3 linked regions of the Drosophila melanogaster genome follow. The protein of the gene in region 2 interacts with the protein of the main gene of each other region in a pairwise test. Each region holds a gene or a part of one and is shown on either strand. Other genes may lie near its edges. The genes, in order: Pif1A, CG16813 and REPTOR-BP.

The links.
Region 1: the proteins of CG16813 (region 2) and Pif1A come close enough for resonance energy transfer, tested with the Drosophila melanogaster proteins (one study listed by BioGRID).
Region 3: the proteins of CG16813 (region 2) and REPTOR-BP interact in a two-hybrid assay, tested with the Drosophila melanogaster proteins (2 studies listed by BioGRID, with this or other methods).

What each region holds. Positions count from the first base shown.
Region 1 is NT_033777.3:8,798,027-8,802,955, forward strand, and holds the start of Pif1A (PFTAIRE-interacting factor 1A), read right to left. Parts: upstream 3,151-4,929; 5' UTR 2,849-3,150; intron 2,754-2,848; 5' UTR 2,668-2,753; intron 1,919-2,667; exon of another isoform or gene 1,436-1,918; intron 21-1,435; 5' UTR 1-20. Other genes in the region: CCT7 (chaperonin containing TCP1 subunit 7), read left to right, coding at 3,652-3,654, 3,833-4,093, 4,160-4,929.
Region 2 is NT_033779.5:13,225,453-13,229,063, forward strand, and holds CG16813 (uncharacterized protein), read left to right. Parts: upstream 1-2,076; 5' UTR 2,077-2,156; intron 2,157-2,247; 5' UTR 2,248-2,400; coding exon 2,401-2,955; 3' UTR 2,956-3,069; downstream 3,070-3,611.
Region 3 is NT_033779.5:10,262,470-10,265,693, forward strand, and holds REPTOR-BP (REPTOR-binding partner), read left to right. Parts: upstream 1-1,655; 5' UTR 1,656-1,738; coding exon 1,739-1,795; intron 1,796-2,079; coding exon 2,080-2,164; intron 2,165-2,294; coding exon 2,295-2,416; coding exon of another isoform or gene 2,417-2,420; intron 2,421-2,477; coding exon 2,478-2,570; 3' UTR 2,571-2,642; downstream 2,643-3,224. Other genes in the region: Rsf1 (repressor splicing factor 1), read right to left, coding at 347-949; Mob3 (MOB kinase activator 3), read left to right, coding at 3,051-3,092, 3,152-3,224. UniProt on the Drosophila melanogaster protein: Transcriptional regulator that acts in the TORC1 signaling pathway to regulate energy homeostasis and promote survival during nutrient deprivation.

The sequences.
Region 1 (4,929 bases), on a different chromosome or scaffold from region 2:
ATCGTTGGATTCTCCTCAATCTGTAAGCGATATATTCAAAATAAAGTATACAATAATGTGGCTTTAATAATGCTTTAAGCATATACAATAAAAGCCCTACTCTTATCTACTTATTACAAATTATGCCTTGAAAAATTACACAGTATACAGAATTCCGAGTCTTTGCCCGCATGGAGGTTGTTTCTTCAGAATCGCAAAGATTCCCCTTTGTCTGTCAGCATTTCAATGGCTTCTGTTTAGCCGTAGACTCTTCAACGCTTTTCTTCACTGGGTTGAACTAATCAACAAGTTTCCCCCATTATTGATTTCAGCGGAAAAGCTTTTTCCTTCATTTCGCCACATCGGGTCGGGCCACACATATGAATGAAAAACGAAACATATAGGCACCCTGGGACTGGGAAATAGTTTACAACGCCAATTGCGTTGGGCTTACCAAATAAACTGGTCCGGAATGACTTTTCTTAATGACGTCATGTGGCGCGCCTTTTGGAATAGAACAGAATATGTACGTACATTCATATGTACATGTGTTTTTTTTGTTTTGTGAGGTTCCCCACTGGGGCGCTTTACACGCAATAAAACCGCTTTTCATTACTTTTTTTGTTCTACAGAAACAGAATTCTTTGCACTGCTCCCACATCCGCCCCAAAGATTATAACAAAGCATCTATATATATACTGTATGAGGTGCACACACGAGTAGGCCCACAGTTCATATGTTCATAGAATGCTCTCCGAGATTTCTGGCCGATCATCTTTATCAAGGCCACGATCTATATACACATGTAGAGCGACAGATTTGTGTACTTAGCAACCTTCTGGCGCCTAATTGGAATTTGATTTGTTTTTCCAGCTCGATACACTAGGTGTTAATAGGGAGGGATCTTAAGTGAGTGGTGCCCAAGTTTATTACTTTCTGGTTATCAACATAAATTATAAGTAATTATTAGTAAACTTTATGATATTGACTCTTGGACGTATTTCAAAACCGAACTGTTAGTGGAAAAACTACCCTAAAAGAGGTGTTCGTTCCAAATGTATGTAATATTTATTTTGTGGCTTTTCTATAAACTGAAGGACTGGGGCTAATGATGGCTCTCATGTTGCATTTCATTTAATTAAATTTAAAACCGCCCCCAGTCCACTCGATAATAAAGTGTTTTTGGGGTCGACATACACGCCATGGTGACATCACAGCCTCGGTGTGACCGGCTTGGTTGGGATTGGTTTTATACGAGCAAAGCCACCCACTCGATTGCCATCCACATCCACAGCCATCCACATGGGCAGATGAAAGTCTCTTTTTTGCTCTTTAAGTATGTATATTTTCAGTCATATATCAATTTGAAAATATTGCCAAACGATGAGTCGGTCAGCCGTCGAGTGTACAGTCTGCGGCTCTTTCGGCTGATTCACCGAAGATCACGTATACGCACCATTAGCTCTGAAATCCTTGGGCGTCGTAGACCAACAGTTGGTGTGCCTCAAACTTCTGTATATGTTTATTCACTCACTCACTCACTCACTAAGTCGACCGACGATGTTGTAATGTAAACAGTTTATTTACTGCCTGCTTGCCACTGTTTCTTGCAGTGTAATGACGTCAATACGTTAATTTTCAATCAACTTTTTTCGCGCACAGACCAAGTAGAATATCGTCGGTATGTGGAGCACTTCTTCGACAATTGTTAAGCAAAGTATGATATATTTTTGTTCAAATATATTCACACAGTTCGTACAGGAAGTTCGAAATTATATCAATTAAGTTACACAAGTTCGTCGGAATAGAAGTGAGTTATGTTCGGTTCGTTTGGGGAGTATCCTAATTAGTTGCAATCAATTTGAATTGTAAATTAAAAGAAGTGTTCTATACTAGGTAAATTTCGTTGCTCGGCGATAGCAGAGATCTTTCGTTTCGGCCGGACACCGATTGACTAACTCGGCCTCTCGAGCTTTCGCAAGCTCTTTCACATTTGCCTCCATTTCCATTTAATTAAAAGGAGCTTTGCCATTTATTCATGCACTTCTTGGGGTTATGGGGTGGCAAAGCTCGGGTCTGTGTGCGTGCCCCGAAGAATGGCCGACGTGAAGCCGGAAGAGCCCATCTATTGAAAGCCGAAGATGTTTTCCTCCCGGTTCCCGACTTCATAACAAAAAAAAACCAGTCGCGTGTTTATTAATAACCAAAATATGCACACAACCCGCCACGAAATTGGTCAAAATAACAAACAGTGAAATAAAAGATATCGGAACTTCAGGTTGATTGGATATTAATTCGGTATAAGTTTGATAAAGTAATGATAAAATTCAGTTAAATTGTTATATCTGTGTAAACATTGTTATAAGTACTTCCGCATGATTAAGGCGCGTTGCTCAAACATATATCAGCACAAAGCATTTGTGCTAGTTTAAGTTTAAGAGCAATCTGAAGACGTGACATTAAAGCTGTTGAAACGTGCATCTATTATTATATGTTTAGACCAGAAGTAAATAAATTTGGTAATAAACATACTTGCAAAACATTTAAGTTGCTCAACTTTTTTATAGTCTTTTTATGGCAATTAAAATTTCATACTTTTAATTTCGATTTAAATGCCAAACGTATTGCGTATGAATATCTTTATGTCTATAATCCCCAACAGCTGAAGAATCTTCACAAATCACATACAAATTTGACAATCGCCTTAACGACGCGATGAATGATGGACACAATTAGAACACATTCCGATTCCAGTCAGTCAACACAGGGGAAATCTAAATAAAAGCACAAAAGGGGAACAAACTTTGCACTTTGATTTGAGTGCCTTATCGTGTGGGAGCCCCACTTCACTTTTCTTTTTCTTACTCACTATTTGCATTTTTCATAGTCGGTTCAGCATCCTGATTTGTTTCATAATCACTCGGCAATTGTCTAGTATCCGGTTAGTATCCATTGGCATCCCTTGTGGTTCGATGTCGTCGTTAAGAGGAGTCTTGGGCAACTAAAATTCCAATTCCACATGACCGAATTAGATTTAGAATGCTTTCTTTCATTTAAACCTATTTGCGGTTGAATGTTCTGGCGTTTTGGCCTTTCAAATGACTCTTCTATTTTTCATTTAATTGCTGCTCGGTGCACAACTCACTCAAGTTGAGCGGTAGGAACAAACTGAAGATGCGGCGCACTTTCTAAAATGGAATAAGCGACATGCGTGCGTGCATCGCCAAATTTATATAAATAGAAGGAATCACAAATCTATATTTGAAGTTGGGAGCAATTTCAAAAAACCGCTCGCCGGTCAAGAGTGACGTCATGGAGCCATCGATAACTTTTTCGATAACAACTACCAGCTGCATATCATATTAGTTTAAAATGTTCATCAAAAAGTGTGGAAACTAGCTTTGTACCATAAAGTTAAAAAATCGCAAGATAGAAATAAATAGATAGTTTTTTATGAGTTAGGATTTCAAATTTCATTGTAAAGTGCGACTAAGTCCCCAAACGTTCACACTGGCTGCAAGCATCGATTAAATACAAAATAACAACGATTAATCGATTGGCCCATTACTCATCGCGGAAAACGTGAACGAAAAGCAAGTTGCCGCCTGTCTGCTAGGAACTTTATTGTTTTAAACTGTAATACGTGCTAAAGGCCAACCCCATCACATAAATATGGTAAGTCCGGCTGGAAATAATCCGAGGCTAACCAAGTGAATCCCAATCATGGACTCGTCCGCGAGCGGCATGAGATTGTAAACATAACCTGCAAAGAAGCTTCTCGCAAGCCGACGACATCTGCTGACTAATTGGAGACTTTTACTATATATTCGCCTTATATCCGTATGATCCGCAGCAACCGCAAATCGTGCTCCTCAAAGAAGGCACTGACTCGTCGCAGGGCAAGCCGCAACTGGTGTCCAACATCAATGCCTGCCAGTCGATCGTGGACGCAGTGCGGACCACTCTGGGTCCCCGCGGCATGGACAAGCTGATTGTGGATGCCCACGGCAAGGCGACGATTTCCAACGATGGAGCCACCATCATGAAGCTGCTGGAGATCATCCACCCGGCGGCCAAGACCCTGGTGGACATTGCCAAGTCACAAGACGCCGAGGTAAGTGATTGGCACCCCTGAGACGCACGTGACACTGCTAAAGCTTTGATTCGACTTCTCCTTCAGGTGGGTGACGGCACCACGTCCGTGGTTCTGCTGGCCGGCGAGTTCCTTAAGCAGGTGAAACCCTTCGTGGAGGAGGGAGTGCACCCACGAGTCATCATTAAGGCCATCCGCAAGGCCCTGCAGCTCTGCATGGAAAAGATCAACGAAATGGCCGTCCAAATTGTCGAACAGTCCAAGGACCAGCAGCGTGCTCTCCTTGAGAAGTGCGCAGCCACTGCCATGTCCTCCAAGTTGATTCACCAGCAGAAGGACTTCTTCTCCCGCATTGTAGTCGATGCTGTGCTCTCCCTGGATGAGCTGCTGCCCCTCAACATGATTGGAATTAAGAAGGTGACCGGTGGCTCGCTGGAGGAGTCACAGCTAGTGTCGGGTGTGGCCTTCAAGAAGACCTTTTCCTATGCCGGCTTTGAAATGGCCCCCAAATCCTATGACAACTGCAAAATTGCCCTGCTCAACATCGAATTGGAGCTTAAGGCTGAGCGCGATAACGCCGAGATCCGCGTAGACAACGTCAAGGAGTACCAAAAGGTGGTCGACGCCGAGTGGCAGATCCTCTACAACAAGCTGGCTAAGATCCACGAGTCCGGCGCCAATGTTGTCCTCTCCAAGCTGCCCATCGGTGATGTGGCCACACAGTATTTCGCCGACCGCGACATATTCTGCGCCGGCCGCGTTCCCGAAGAAGATCTTAAGCGCACCATGAAGGCTTGCGGTGGAGCCGTAATGACGACGGCCAACGACATTAAGCCCAATGTACTCGGCCTGTGCGA
Region 2 (3,611 bases):
TGACCATTGCTGGCCGACTACTACTACCTGCTCATCTGAAAGTCCTTTGTAATTAATTTTTCATTTGCTGCAGCGCGCTGCTCGCACCTTCTATTGTGTCTGCCTAGTCCGTCCGGGTTTTCTTGGAAATTTCCCTGCCGACTTTCTCGAGAAGCGTTTTCTACCTCGAAATCTGGCCAGCGCCTGCGCTTGCCACTCTTTGATGCTGGGCCACGTTGTCTGGACGCTTCGGAATCTGGATTCTTATCTCGCTTACCGCTAATCTGCCTCATTAAGTTCTCGTCCAGGGTATCCGGGTATACCTTTATGTACCTTCGGCAAAATGCCAGCCGCTGCTTAGTCACAATGGTCATTGAATGGAAATTTATTGGGATTTTCCCGAATCGATGGGTGCGCGTCTGGCCTAGTCTGTTCACGGGATTTCTTGGATTCTTTTCTTTTTTGTATAATAGTAGAGTCATAATTTATGGAAAAGCAAGAAATTTTGTTTATAATATGTCACTCACTATATGATTATTATACATTAATTAAACATTATTTTTTGTTGGTTTGCGATCATGAAAGATTGGTAATGTAGAAATTAAAATATTGCTATATGAAATCAGACTATAAGGTTTTCATTTTATACTTTTTCAAAACTAAACCTTCAAAGTGAAAATCTTGTGATATAAACAATAGAATATTGCTATACTGCATTATACTATAAGGGTTATAACCGACTTTAAATATCATTAGTAAAGATAATGTTTTATGATATACAAGTACATAAATATGTAAACACACACACATATAGGTTTTTCTTAAAGCAGTTTATTTATTGTTTAAAATTTTTAATACATTTAAATGCAGTTCGAATTTTCATTATTGTAAATACGTTTACTACTGCTTTTACTATTTTACAACTATACGAATTTAAAAATATATACATATATCCTTAACTTTTCTATTCCCTTTTTAAGTGAATTCTTAAAAGTAATCTTTGGACTTAATTTAATATTCTAAACCATTCAAAGTGAATAATCCTTGGTATATTTATACAAGGTTATCCTGGACGCAAGTTGATACAATCGTTGCTATCATACAAAGTTATATATTCTCGATTCTGGATCATAATATTTTAAATAGACATTTTTACCTATTTATTTTCATCTACATAATTCCTTCTTGTTTCTCAGAAAAAAGCAAACTTTTCAAGGCTAAAATTTCCCATCGCTGAAAAGATCTACTCCTTAGAAAAATATATGGGAATCTATTTTCCCATCCACCATCCTGTTAATACAACATTATATAAGACAACCTTTAATTGTATCATTGGTGAAAGCACTTCCTGGTAGGATATTATTGCTCTTTTTAAGGTCATTCCCCTTGAAGGAATGAACAACACCTACCCTGGAGGACCCAATGCAATCGATTCTCTGCGTTCCAGAACAGATGAAAATTGATCAATATAATAAAAGGAAAACAATCAAACAATACGACAATCTTTCACTGTAATACTTCAACTGAACAAATAACCAACTCCCACTCCGCTCCTGCTTATTGACTTTGGGATTCCTCGAGGAGGGCTCGTCTCAAGCCCACCTGAAATAAATCCGCTTAGGCGGAGGAACACTGAAATGTGAGAACCATCTACCACATATACATTCGTTCCCTGACGGCATAAATCAATGGACAATGGACCATTGAATGAAACGGAAAAATCCGACATAATGCCAAAGACACGAAACCAGGGAGCAGAGGGAGGAGCATTCAGTAATTGCCGGTTTTCTAGGTTTGCTAGTATGTACATGTACCGGGAGATTCAGAAACTCCGAGACGGTTTTTCTTCAGCTGTCCAAGCTGAAAGTCATAAACGCTTGTTGTTCGAATCGAGATCGGGCATTGAAAACTGCAGCATGTCTGCTATTCAGGTGCCACAAAGAAAGCCGAAACAATAGCGGGTCGGCCGGCAGACAGCCTGGACGAATTGAGCGCCAGGATTAGAGATTACACAGGGATCCTCTACACAGAGATCCCTTTTTCGGGCCCGACAACAGGTAATTTCGTCGAAAATCGTCGGCCACGTAAACAGACGAGGCAAGGACAACAACTGGTTTATGACACCCTTTGAGAAGATTGCCAGCCTGCGGATTAGGAACTCCCTATTCCCAATTCAGGTAACAGCAGCCGATTAGTTTTGGTCCCATTTTTAGGGAATGAATGAAATGCGTTGGGGAAATACCTGATCCGTTTTACCGTGATCCCCAGGTACGTGATGGGAAAATCTTTGCCATTTGGCCATTCCGTTTTCGTGGGAGGCTCTGCAAGTTACCTAATGTTGCATAAAACGGATGGCCAGGAGGAGGGGCAGCACAGTCGTCTCGAAGACAGCAAAGCGAACACCACTACTCTTAATCAAGAATGGATAACTATAACCACAAGAAATTCACTGGAGCTCTGAAGCGAAAGCGCAGCATGGATGCGGACTCTGATGACGATGTGGTCTTCATTATGGAACAGCCGGGCCAACGCACTCCAGAGCAGCCGCAGCCTAAGCGTCGCTTCTTCCGACCCTGGATGGATGAGTCTCCGGAAGAGGAGCAACCACAGCCGCCACGTAAGATTGTGGCTACATCGACACCGCCGCCACAACAAGTGGATGGCACCTACCACGCTAACATGGTGCGCAATCACCACAAGCGCCGCCAGCGCAGTCCACAGGAGCAACTGCGTCGGGATCGCAACACCTTGGCCAGCCTGCGCCATCGACGCTCCCAGCAGCAACAGCAGCAGCTCATCGAACAACAATACCTGACCAGTCGCATTCAGCACGAGGCCAATCTGCAGCAGCAGATCCGCCTGAGTCTCTACTATGTGCGCTTCCTGCAGCAGGCGATGGCCTCCACGGAGCCACTGCCTCCCACACAGCCAAGGCACATGATGCCGCGCCAACAGACCACCACCCAGCATCCTTGAAGGGTGGACATGGTGCAACGACTGGGCGCTGCTCAATGCGCCCTAACTTATTGTAGAAAAGCTGAATAGTGATTGTGATTACTTTTAAAGTTTAATTTATTTATCTGGTTGACTAAACAATAAACACACTAATTGTTATCGAAATAACTTGTAATTTTTATAGAATTTTGTAATAATTGGTTTTTAGTTGGTTTCTGATTGATTGAAATCTAACTCGGGGTCTTATTTATTGAATCTTATTTGGAAGTCTGATATTTCTTTTCCGCCGTTTAACATCATGAGGATTTGTTCTAGACCAAAACTGACCGGAAGCATCAGCTCATAAGAGTTACCTCACTTGGTTTTTCTGCCATTATATAACATTAAATACATCTTATGTAATTAATTTCTTGGAAGCGCAATTTGCAATGCTAATTAAGGTGTGAAGTAATTCTAGTGATTCACATAGCCAGACTACAGTGAGAATTGAATCGATTCGGCACGAGTGACATATTGTGGGAAACACGGAATAAAATTGTAATTTATTTCAGTTGGATTTAATTATTTAATTTATAAACAAATCAGCATAGCGAACGAACAAAGTGCTTGCAAAATAATTAAAACACGGTGACAATAAGATCCGCCTTTATATTTAAATAATCATCAATGAAATCATC
Region 3 (3,224 bases), 3.0 Mb from region 2:
TACTTCTAGATTTTGGTTTGACGTTGTTCGAGTCTTAGCGTATTTTTCTTACTAGTTTTCTACGTTATAACTTAAATTTTACGTGCTTGCAATTGTCATGTTAATGGGTATTCGTTAAATAAATAATGAAGAGACGACGACTATCAGTTTTTTGTTTTTTCTTTTTTTTTTATCATTCTGTTGTTGTTGTTGATGTGGGGGAATGAGGGAATCTGTTGGACGATCGAAAACGATCGAATGCTACGATTTTAAATGTTTGAGTCTGCGTTTTACGGTCGCGCTTAAGTTATTATTTATTAATCTTTACTCATAGGCAATCCTTAAGCAACTATGAGTGGTGTTGTCATTAGAATCGATGGTTTCCCACCGGCGAGCGGGACCTGAAGCGTCCGGCCGACTGACCACCAGTGCGTCCGTAGCTGGCGCTACTTCCGCTGCTGTAGCGGCTGCTGTCGCGTCCACCGCCGTAAACCTCGCGGCGATTGAAGCCGCTGCCGCCGCCCTCTCTGCCATTATAGCTGCTTGCACCTGATCGGCCGGAGCTATAGCCCCGCTCCGTGTGCCGGCTTGAGGATCCGCTGGATCCGCGCTGCCGGAAACCGCCTCCGCCGCTACCACCGCTTGTGATGCTGTGCCGGCCAAAGTCGCCGCGTCGTCCGCCCCTGTCCATGGGTCCGCCACGCCTACCCTGGCGTGGCCGCCCTTTTGAGATCTCCACGCGCAGCTGGGAGCCGAGCAGCTCGGATCCGTTCAGTATGTCGCACGCCTTTTCGGCGTCGTCGCGGTGCTCGAACTCGACGAACGCAAATCCCGGCGGATTGAAGGCTATCCACACCGAATTCAGCTTGCCATACTTTGTGAACTCCCCCTCCAGATCATCCTTTTTCACTTTGTCGGTCAGATTGCCGACATACACCCGTGTCCCGCGCTGATCACCCATGCTGGACATCTGGATTCACTGTTTCTGATTCGTTTTCGGAGTTATCCTGCAAATCGGATAGCTGCCTTGAAAAATAAATAATCAATAAGTTATCACCACCGGACAATTTAGCGTTTGTATCTATATCAACTTTTCGACCAGGGTGGTTAAACTCGTTGCAAAAATGCTAATTTTCAAAAATATCCTCGCATTTGGAACACTGAGAATGGACGTGTGTTGGGATGTATTTATAGTTTAACGGCCCCGTAAAAAGGGACTTCCCGCTGCTCTAGTGACTTGTATTTTTAATTATTTTTATACTTTGTGCTGGGAAATGTATCATGGTAATCTGAATAATACGTCAATTTAATTTATATAATTTTATAAATATTTGTATGATCTTTAGTAAAGTAAATAAAGTAAAACAATATATAAAATGTTTGTTAATATATAGCCGTGTACTTTTATATTTTCTTCAAACCCCAAATAATGAATAATTATATTGAACATTTATTAATTATTATTTAATTAATTTATAATTTAACTATTATCATAATTTAACTATTTAAATATAATGACTATTATCATTTTAAGTCATTAAAAGAAAATTTGTTACGATTTAAACTTTATTTATATTTTTGTTCTTAAATATAAAATACAAATAGTTCCCTTAATGTGTTCCATTCCATCGTTTCTGTTAAGATATATTTCGATTGGCACCTTTGTGTGTAGTGGTTTTGTTTATTGTTACCTTGAGTATTTACGAAAGACGCATAATAACAAAGAGTTGCAAAGTTGTTGTATTATTTGAGAGTTATAATGGCTGATATGGAGATACAGAGCAACAAAATGTCAATAACGGAGGAAACACAAGTGGTAATATATTATTAAATATAAAAGATGTGGTCTTTTTGTTTGAACATGATCTGAATTGTTCTAATGCGCAGTAAGGCCTTGCGTGTATGTATATACACATATATAAGCTATCTTCTGTGTATGCGTGTATATACATATGTGATTTTTATCATGCAAAAGCGCCTATTTTCAAAAAAGATTTTAAGTTTGACTTATCGGAACTAAATTTTTGCGAATAAGAATATTGAAAGCAAATTGTTTTTGGGATATCGTCAAATATTTACATTTTATATTATATTTATAAGCAGACGCGCAAGGAATGTGGAAAAAGGGGACGAAAACCAGGAAGAAAGACGTCTACTGAAAAATTGGACATGAAAGCCAAACTAGGTAAGAACAACATTAATTTCCACTTATAATACTTAAACAACGGTATTATTTTTAATAGTAACAAAGTTTCCAAACACTAATACATGTTATTTCCTATGGAATTTTATATAACGTGTATTTTCCCTTGCAGAACGCAGCAGACAAAGTGCCAGGGAATGCCGGGCGCGCAAGAAGCTGCGGTATCAGTACCTGGAGGAACTGGTGGCGGATCGGGAGAAGGCTGTAGTTGCTTTGCGTACGGAACTGGAGCGCGTCGGTATATAACTTATCATGCCACGTCCAACCAATTTATTTATTCTCATCTTTATTGCAGTTAATTCAATGGAATAACCAGTTGAGCGAAAGCAACACTCCAACCAACAATGACCAGTTACTTCAGGAACTCGGAATCCTCAAACAAGAATAACCTACATTCTTATTTTTAGCTTAAGAATATTACTTTTATAATAAATGTACGACGGTTACTATTTATATTATTACGAAAATACTGCAGAAATTTTTGTTATTTTCTATATTGCATTTTACAGCTTTTTATTGTTTCATTTGTATAGTGATTAAAGCCAAATTAAAGTATTTTTATGATAAATAAGAACTAATTAAATATTTGTTATTTAAGGGTGTTAAACCAATTGGTACACTGGAACAGTGATATATGGAACGATTATTCTAAGGGTTCGATAACTTAGTCGTGAAAAGCCTATCAATGGTTTCTCCCATCTCTCCATCGGCATAAAAATACAGAATAGTCTAAGGAACTGAATAAATGTAAACATTATTTATAAACAGCCATTAATAGTTATTCAATTGACAAACTTTTGTGCTGTAAGCAGCGCTTACATATGTGCCAAAATATTCTCACAACCAACAGAATCTCCAACAAGATATTATGGCTTTAAATGGATTTTTAGAATTCTTCCAAAAGGGCAAGGTGTGTTTGGTCAATAACAAAATCATATGCAGTTGATGTATTTTTAAACTAATTTTCAGACCTTTAGGCCAAAAAAGCCATTTGCCTCCGGAACCATTAGGTATTCCTTACATAAGCAAGCCCAGGCCAGTT